Rattus norvegicus: one gene and its partner. The protein of the gene in region 1 binds, or shares a complex with, the protein of each later gene. Links are inferred from orthologs where the notes say so. Each region holds a gene or a part of one and is shown in the gene's direction. Other genes may lie near its edges.

The links.
Region 2: the proteins of Tnni2 (region 1) and Tnnc2 are in contact, whole or in part, in a crystal structure (PDB 1A2X), measured with the Oryctolagus cuniculus proteins. The link is inferred for Rattus norvegicus from reciprocal best matches to the Homo sapiens genes TNNI2 and TNNC2. Residues at the interface, in NP_001076252.1 of Oryctolagus cuniculus: Glu5, Asn8, Arg9, Ile11, Thr12, Arg14, Arg15, Gln16, His17, Leu18, Lys19, Ser20, Val21, Met22, Leu23, Ile25, Ala26, Glu29, Leu30, Glu33; in NP_001076114.1 of Oryctolagus cuniculus: Ser13, Glu15, Met16, Ala18, Glu19, Ala22, Lys91, Leu96, Glu98, Cys99, Arg101, Ile102, Phe103, Arg105, Ile119, Phe120, Ala122, Ser123, Glu125, His126, Val127, Glu131, Ser134, Leu135, Asp138, Phe152, Met155, Met156, Val159, Gln160.

What each region holds. Positions count from the first base shown.
Region 1 is NC_086019.1:207,023,140-207,027,371, forward strand, and holds Tnni2 (troponin I, fast skeletal muscle), read left to right. Parts: upstream 1-1,350; 5' UTR 1,351-1,361; intron 1,362-1,973; 5' UTR 1,974-1,995; coding exon 1,996-2,003; intron 2,004-2,198; coding exon 2,199-2,205; intron 2,206-2,672; coding exon of another isoform or gene 2,673-2,674; coding exon 2,675-2,716; intron 2,717-2,806; coding exon 2,807-2,935; intron 2,936-3,075; coding exon 3,076-3,165; intron 3,166-3,393; coding exon 3,394-3,570; intron 3,571-3,700; coding exon 3,701-3,796; 3' UTR 3,797-3,893; downstream 3,894-4,232. UniProt on the Homo sapiens protein: Troponin I is the inhibitory subunit of troponin, the thin filament regulatory complex which confers calcium-sensitivity to striated muscle actomyosin ATPase activity.
Region 2 is NC_086021.1:173,932,448-173,936,894, reverse strand, and holds Tnnc2 (troponin C, skeletal muscle), read left to right. Parts: upstream 1-1,555; 5' UTR 1,556-1,648; coding exon 1,649-1,651; intron 1,652-3,060; coding exon 3,061-3,112; intron 3,113-3,204; coding exon 3,205-3,348; intron 3,349-3,443; coding exon 3,444-3,558; intron 3,559-3,680; coding exon 3,681-3,817; intron 3,818-4,112; coding exon 4,113-4,144; 3' UTR 4,145-4,284; downstream 4,285-4,447. UniProt on the Homo sapiens protein: Troponin is the central regulatory protein of striated muscle contraction. Tn consists of three components: Tn-I which is the inhibitor of actomyosin ATPase, Tn-T which contains the binding site for tropomyosin and Tn-C.

The sequences.
Region 1 (4,232 bases):
CCCACTGCCCTCTCAAGGATGGGGTAGGGTACTCTGAACAGATTTGTTAGTCCTGAAGCTCTGCACAAGGCCTGATTCTAGGTCTTTCCCTGGAAGATGGGCACCATCCTCTCTGCCAGCCAGGATTGGCAGAGGAGCAGGAGACGAGCACTGGCCCTGTGAAGATAGAGGGCAATTGGGGGTGGGGGGAGCTGTGGGTAGGTACAGCGTGGGGAAGAGACCCCAACGCCAGGAGGGATGGTGATATGGTGTCTTCTGTACTATCAACAGGGGGCAGTAGATGCCTTTGGAAGCTGCTCTGGGGCCTTTGGGGGCTCACAGCCCTGGCTTGTGATATACCTCTTAATCCCAGCACATCTGGCGGGCTTTAGCAGCTCCAACCCTCCTCTGATCCCCAGGGGCCCCAGAGCAGCAGGGTTGGGGCCAAGCCATGATCTGGTTTCCTCTGGGTGGGGTTCAGGAGCGGGAAAGGAGCAAGGGCCCGGCCCCAGTGAGCCGGGTAATGCAGGGCCTGCCTAGACAACCAAGGGCCCTGAGCCCCCACAGGTCAGACAAAGGTTCCTAGGGCGGTAGCACCATTCTCTGGGGTTGAAGGACATGTTCCGAGTTGTCTGTGCAGAGGCACCCATAGGCAGGGGTGTGTGGCAGGCTGGGAGAGGCCCAGCTGCTGGTCGAGGGGCGCATTTGCTTCTCTTTCTGGGCAGAAAGGCAAGTTCACTACAAGAGGTGGGCATTACTCTACTGAGCCCTGACTACCTATCACACAGGGCCCAAGAGAATGGTTTTTGGTTTGGGGGGCGAGTGTGCAATTTTGCAGGAGGACTGGTGAGGTGAACAGTCAATCAGTACAGGGGCCCAAGCAGGGCATGAGCACCCAGCAGGCAATGAGTGGCCAGATGGGTGCTGAAGTACAAGGCCACACATACCATTTGACAACGACTCTAGTTCAACCTACTCTTGGTGAAGTCCGGTTTCCCTTGGAGGAAGACTTCAGTGGATGCTTTGAGCTGGGTACCTTGGCGACCCACATGGAAGATTACACTTGCTGTCCTGAGGGCTCTTGCAGGAACAAGGGTGGCATCTTGAACTCGTCATTGAGACATAAATAGAGCAAACCACCCCCCACTCCCCACCCCAAGACTTCTTGGACAGGCCAGCGCCTGGGCTGGCTGGCCAGGCGGCTGGGCAGGTGGGGAGGCTCTCCTCCTCTCTGTGCCCCCATTGGTCTGAGGAGACTCCATGCCCTTTCTGAGCAGGGGCCCGGCCCAGGGAAAGCAATTTATACCCCTCCCCCTGGCCCACCAGCCCAGCTCACTGCTGCCGGCTTGACCTCGCTCCCAGCACTGCTGCACAGAATCTAGGTGAGGCCAAGCCCATCTTCTTGAGGTTGAAGAATAGGGCACTACTCAGGCGAGCTCACAGGAGGACTTCCCTGGGCAGGGGCTTGGGGGGGGGGGGTCTGGGGTCTCCAAGATCTCCCACAGATCTGAGATTGAGAAACAACAGGTGCTGCTAGGCTAGGGCAGGGGGTCTTCAACAGGCCTGGGATAACAGGCTCTGAGTCTGGGGACTCGAAAGCAGGAGAATGTTCAGGTCAAGCAAGTGGGGACTTGAGCCCCCAGGCCACACGGAAGAGCACTTTCTTCCAAGCATTTACTTCTCAAGTCAAAGGAGCAAGAGTTAAAAATAACAGGCTCACTCTGGCAGCCACCTGTGCTGGCCAGCCCCACCCCACCCCTCCCTCAGGGACAGCTGCAGCTCCTCAGGCCCCGCCTAGGACATTTTGGGAACACTTTCTCCTCTTACTTCTCACCCTCGGGGTGGGGGTGGGGGTGGGGGGAGATGTCCTCCAAATCCTTGCCCTCTGAGAAGGTCTGAGTTGTGGGTAGAGCAGAAGTGAGCTAGTGAGCCCAGGTCTCCATGCCAAGCCTCCCGCAAGGCGAACACTGACACCATCACCTCTCTCCCCACAGGCTCAGAGCTTGAGATCTCAAGATGGGAGAGTAAGTGACACCCAGGATGACCTGAACTGCAGTCCCCTCACCAGGGTTTGGGTCTCCTCTCTCTCCCTTCCCTCTGTGGCTACTGCCCACCCCTTCAACCCCATCAACCCCTAAGTTTCAAGGCTACTCCCATGAGCCATGATCTAACGTCTCTTTTTTTCTCCCACTCCTACCTCCCTCTTCCTCCTGGGACAGTGAGGAGGTGAGTATCGTTGGAGGCTATAATGGTCCCCTGAGGCTAGGACAGAAGACACCCCTGTCAAGACTCCCAAATGCCCCACCCCCTGAACTACCCCAGAGAGAGAGGAAGTGCCCGCCTGGTGTTTTGTGAGGCAAGGGAAGTATGACTTAGGTCTAGTCACAAAGGAATCACTTCTCCTTTCTAATTTCTGTTCACCACTCACCTTCCGGGCCTCCCCTTGCCCACAGCCTCTGAGGCCTGGCCATATACTGCCTCCTCATCCTCATTAACCCCTTCATCCCCATGTACCACCTAAGCAAAATGTCAGGACCACAGGCATGTGTCCCTGAAGCAGGCCCCAGACTAGGGAAAAAACAGGGCCCTGGGCAGTGGCCTTGTTACCTCCTTGGGAACCCCAAGTCAGATGGCTCCCAAGGAGGTCAGAGCTCTAGCCAAAGCCTGACTCTGACCCCTCTGTCCTGTCCTGCAGAAGCGCAACAGGGCCATCACGGCCCGGAGACAGCACCTGAAGGTAAGGGTGGGCTGCTGCAGAGGGCTGGGGGTACAGAGGTAGGAGTGGGAGTTCACGGCGGACCCTCACGCCCACCGCTCTGTTCCTCAGAGTGTGATGCTCCAGATCGCGGCCACAGAGCTGGAAAAAGAGGAAAGCCGCCGCGAATCCGAGAAGCAGAACTACCTGTCAGAACACTGCCCGCCTCTGCACATCCCAGGCTCCATGTCTGAAGTGCAGGTAGTTCCTTCCTGCCCCGTACCACCCAAGGCCCTGCTACCCCCATTTCTCAGCAGATCAACCCTATTGGATCAGGACTGGGAGGGGACAGTGGTCCTCGGGTATCAGGGTGGCCACCCACCCACTGCTCGCCCACCCAGGAACTCTGCAAACAACTGCATGCGAAGATCGATGCGGCTGAAGAGGAGAAATATGACATGGAGGTGAAGGTGCAGAAGAGCAGCAAGGAGGTGAGAGGGAGGAGTCAATGGTGAGGGGGTGGGGCATACGGCATGGGGTGGAGTCAGTGGTTTGCGGGATGAAGGGAGTAGGGCAGGCTATATGAATGGGGGAGCCAGGCAACATGGGTGAAGCCAAGCGATATGGGGGTGAAGCCAGGTGGTGTGAAAGTAAGGTCAAAGATACAGAGCAAGGGCAGGGTCCTAAACCTGGCTCCTAAACCTCCTCCTTCCTCCCAGCTGGAAGACATGAACCAGAAGCTATTTGACCTGAGGGGCAAGTTCAAGAGGCCCCCACTCCGGAGGGTGCGTATGTCAGCTGACGCCATGCTGAAGGCGCTGCTGGGCTCTAAGCACAAGGTGTGCATGGACCTGAGAGCCAACCTGAAGCAGGTCAAGAAGGAAGACACTGAGAAGGTAGGCCAGGGCCCAGGGGAGAGCCAAGAAAGAGAGAGTCCACTCACAATCCCTTTTACAGTAAACCAAGGCCCAGGGTAGTCTGGAGCAGACCGGGGTGGATCTGAGACCTCTCTCGTCCTGCCCTCAGGAGCGGGACCTGCGTGACGTGGGTGACTGGAGGAAGAATATTGAGGAGAAGTCTGGCATGGAGGGTCGGAAGAAGATGTTTGAGTCTGAGTCCTAACTGCCTACTTCCCCAGTCCCACCCTACCATTGGGGAAGCACCTAACATCCAGTCTGGAGTACTTGGCCTCACTCCAATAAAGGATTCGCATCCCTTCCACTGGTGTGGTCTAGTTCTGTCTCTGCTTCCTCTGGAGCCCATCAGCAGTGATCAGCTGTGTGGTAGGACAAAGGCCATACTGCTTGGGTACAGTCCAAAGACCCTGGGCTGTACCCTGTAACTCATGGGTGCGATCAATGTCTAACATGACAGGACATGGAGAAAGATGACCATGGGACTCCAACATGTGAGTGGAAGTTTTGGGATCAGCTTCTTTGTCCCTTGGTACAGTCATTCGCTCAGAATGGCTATGACAGGCACACTCCCAAGGCAGCAGGCGCAGTCTCCATTCCTCCAGCACTGCCCTTTCTGAGGGGTCCATCTGAGACCAGAAGTC
Region 2 (4,447 bases), on another chromosome or scaffold:
GAAGCTTTTGTCAATGCTCATTTCTCCTCACAACATGAGGCGCACGCTCTTTACTCTGAACGCTTCTAGGTGGGCCCCTAGGGTCAGGCTCATCCTAATTTTTCCACAACAAAGGTTAAGTAATGGGAGTTGCCAAGGCCGCAGCTCAGTACTTAAGATCACTTGCTGCTCTTGCAGAAGACCTTGGTTCAATTCCTAGCACCTACATGGTAGCTCGAAACTGTGGGATCCGGTGCCTTCTTCCGGCCTCTTTGGGCACTAGGCATGCACATGGTGCACAGACATACGTGCAGACGAAGCACATTAAGAAAATTAAGTTTTGAAAGAATCACCAAGGCTGGGGGTGTAGCTCAGTGGGTAGAGTACTTTGCAGCACGCACATAGCCGAGGCTTGACTTCCCACCCAGCACCCTAATCTAGCATGCCTATAGCCTCGGTGATTCGGTGATTCCGGAGACTAAGGTGAGAGGATCGCCTGAACCCAGGAGTTCAAGGGCAGCTCAGTTGACAGGGAATACTCTTTTGCAAAATAAATCAAAGGACTTAAATGGGCTTGGTATATGCCTGTAAGCCCCAGCACTCTGGAGGTGGAAGTAGGGGTGATTAGAACCTCAAGGTTGAGCTGGAGAGACGGCTCAGAGGTTAAGAGCACTGACTGCTCTCGCTAAGGTCCTGAGTTCAACTCCCAGCAACCACATGGTGGCTCACAACCGTCTGTAATGGAATCCAATGTCCTTTTCTGGTGTGTCTGAAGACAGTGACAGTCTAGTGCACATACATACAATAGATATACAATCTTAAAAAAAAAAAAAAAAAGAACCTCAAGATTAATGTTAGCTACATCAGGTGTTCGAGGCCAGTGTTCAATATATGAGATCTGGCCTCCGAAGTGGGGAATAGAGTTCCTCTGTGGATGCACGACTTATGCTCTAGGCAGATGGAATAATAATAGTTACCTCTTCACGGGATGAAGAGTAGATGAGATCACAGAATCAAGACGCTCAGCCCAGTGGGGGGACAAGTTGTGGGAGTTCACGTCGCTACCTCAGTACTGCGTATCACTTCCCCTTCTTGGGCCAAACGCCAACCCTAGGCACCCAGCGCAAGCTTAGGTGTCTTAGTCATCTGGGCTCACGCTTACCATTTCTGTCTTGGAGGACGATGTGCCTGGAGGGCCCTCGCCACCCGCCCCCACTCACATGGCTCAGAGGGAGAACAGAGTCTTGAATGGATTTTGGACCTCAAGACTGGCCTCTTTCCACTCTACTGTGCTCTTGTTCTGAACATCCTTCCCCCATTTTGGAACAAGTGTGCTGGGGGTGGGGGAGGAGCTCCCTAAGACAGTGGAGCAGGGCGGGGGCCCCCTCCTAAGAATCTAGGAGAACGTCAGAGACTGCCACCTGCTCCAAGCTTAAATTTCCCTGCAAAGGACCCTGGCTAAATTAGGTAATGGGCTAGGACTCTGGGAGGGGAGGGGCTTGCTGCCCCCTGCACCTGATTGGTCAGGGTATCCAGTTCTGGGGAGTAGGGAGGAGGGAAGAGAGGATGCCCCTACAAATCCTGAAGGCTAGAGAGATCTGGGGCACCTTTGGGTGGTGGAGTGCGGAGGAGAGGACCCACAGCAGAGGAGTCCCAGTCACCAGCAACCATGGTAAGGACAAGAAGGGTCTTCACGCTTTTGTCCACAGGCCTCTTTCAGTCCTAGAACTGTGTGCTCTGTGGGCAGTAATGTGGGTGCCTGAAGGTAGAAGATAAGGGTTGTTGGAACCCAAGTCCTGTGGAGACATCCTGGGAAGGCTGGGGGAGGGGGTCAGGATAGTCCAGGAGTTGATCCTCAAGGCTATGACTTCCTGGCCACCTTGAGGCTTGGGACAATGTTATTGGGTACCCAGAGCTGTGTGGGAAGGGTCTTAGCCTGTCTGCTCCCTAGGAGAGACGGAGACCATGAAAGCAGAAAAGTCTCCCAGCAAGGCAGACAGAGTAGGTTCCATGGGCCCAGCCAAGCCTGTGGCAACCAGAGAAGGAAGGTTTCCTCTAAGAATCCCGAGGAGAGGATGGTGGTTAGTAGGGCTGGGTGACAGGGTAGAGGTAGAGACCCTGACCATCCACAGAGGAGCCCTGATCTGGGGCTGCCACTTTCTTCTGAGTACCCTCCCGCTTCACTTGAAGGAGTAATTGGACTCCAGAGACCAGCTGCCATTGACAATGCCCAACTAAAAATAGCCTATCCTCCTGGATCAGGCCAAGGGACGGAGGAGGGAGGAGGAACTGGGCCAGCTGGCTAAAGAATGTCTTGGGACTCACCCCTTCCTCACCACCTCGAGTCCAAAGCCCTGACCCAGAGTGGCCTGGAAAAAATTCACAGAAACCTTACTTTCATGGTTACATGTGGAGCTCCAGGCCAACCCGAGCTACACAGCAAGACTATCTAAACACCCAAACCAGGACGTCGTAACAGAACAGAGGTGTCTTATTTTCACACCAACGCATGGCCCCATCACATTTGACAGTGAGAGAGGTGTTTACCCCGATGACCTAGTGAGAAGTTTTGCCCCCGAGAACCCTCTGACACAAAGCTGCCCATCTCTTCTTGTGGTCTCAGCGTCCGAGTGCTTGGTAGATGTTCTGTGGCTTTGCATTCTGCTATTTAGTTGAGGACAAATACTTATTGACCAGCTAGTCAAGTCCCAGGCAGCATTAGAAGACAGGGACATCAGAAAATCACACTTGAATAGTGCTAACACATTCAAGCCCTCTCTTACCCCCGATGTCCTATTATCCCAGCAAAGTCACAAGAAGGGTGACTTGCCAAAAGTCACTGCTGGGATGGGGGTTTCTTGATGTGGCTCTCCGAAGATAAATGGGAAACTGTGGGTATAACCAATGTCCCCTTTGCACTGGGGATGGTCACCAAGGGTACCTGGGAGGTGCAGCTAGCTTTGGAGTGGCTCTGGAGGACCTGGGGGGTGGGGCACTTCCTAATATAAGAGAGGGCTGGGGAAGCTGAAGCTGGGGTGAGAGTCTGCCCTTCCACGCTCTGATTCTCTCTGTTTCCTATAGACGGACCAACAGGCTGAGGCCAGGTCCTACCTCAGCGAGGAGATGATCGCTGGTGAGTGAGGGTGGGCCGTTGGGGGAGATTAGGTGTAAAGTTGACCATCCAACTGGCCTCACCCATCGCTTCTTCCGTCTCATCCCCGCTAGAGTTCAAGGCTGCCTTTGACATGTTTGATGCTGATGGTGGTGGGGACATCAGCGTTAAAGAGCTGGGTACCGTGATGAGGATGCTAGGGCAGACACCCACCAAAGAGGAACTGGACGCCATCATCGAGGAGGTGGACGAGGATGGTGAGCTGGGCTCCCCCAAGGCAGGGACGGGGAGGAAAGGCTCAGCACACACTGGGCTAACACCTCCCGCCCCGCCCCCGCTTTGCTCCTTGCAGGCAGCGGTACCATCGACTTTGAAGAGTTCTTGGTCATGATGGTGCGCCAGATGAAAGAGGATGCGAAAGGGAAGAGCGAAGAGGAACTGGCTGAGTGTTTCCGCATCTTTGACAGGTGCGTGGGGCTTCTGGGATTCCGGACTTGGGAGCAGATGGAGCCTGCGGGCCTGAAGCGAAGGGGCAGGCTGGCCAGGGTGAGGCTGACCCTGTGTCCTGTTCTGTTCCTCTCTCCCAAAGGAACGCAGACGGTTACATTGATGCCGAGGAGCTGGCTGAGATTTTCCGGGCTTCTGGGGAGCATGTGACAGACGAGGAGATCGAATCCCTGATGAAGGATGGTGATAAGAACAACGATGGCCGCATTGACTTCGACGGTGAGGGCTAGCTTTGTGGGTGGGACTCTTGGTTTTGTGGGTGGGGCTCTTGGCTTTGTGGCTGGGGCTCTTGGCTTTGTGGCTGGGGCTCTTGGCTTTGTGGCTGGGGCTCTTGGCTTTGTGGCTGGGGCTCTTGGCTTTGTGGGTGGGGCTGGGCTTAGGCTAAGTTTCCTCCCACTCTCTAGGGGGGCCCCTTAGGATGTTCCGCAGCTTAGTGCAATGTCCCCATTAAAGACTAGGCACCCCTCTGCGCCCTGAGCGGTACGCCTGACATCATCCCACTCTTTCTCCGCAGAGTTTCTGAAGATGATGGAGGGCGTTCAGTAAGGAGCTGGTCTTCGTGTTCATCCAGACTGCAGGTCCCCTGGGCGTGGGCAACTCCATCCTTGCCTCCTTGCCCTACCAGGGAAAGGCTGCTCCTTTGGGCTCTGTGGCTGGAAGGAATAAAAGCAGACAATGTAAAGCTGGCCTGACTGACCAGGGGACTGATTGAGGGCAAAGGATCTTAGGGATTGCCTGGCTGGATTGACGCACAGAGCGTCCCCCGGAGCCGCTGGGTATGGAAAGAAGGAGGGGTCACGCGGGCCGGAGGCTTGGGTGGCTCAGTGCCGGGCGAAGTTCGACCTGCTC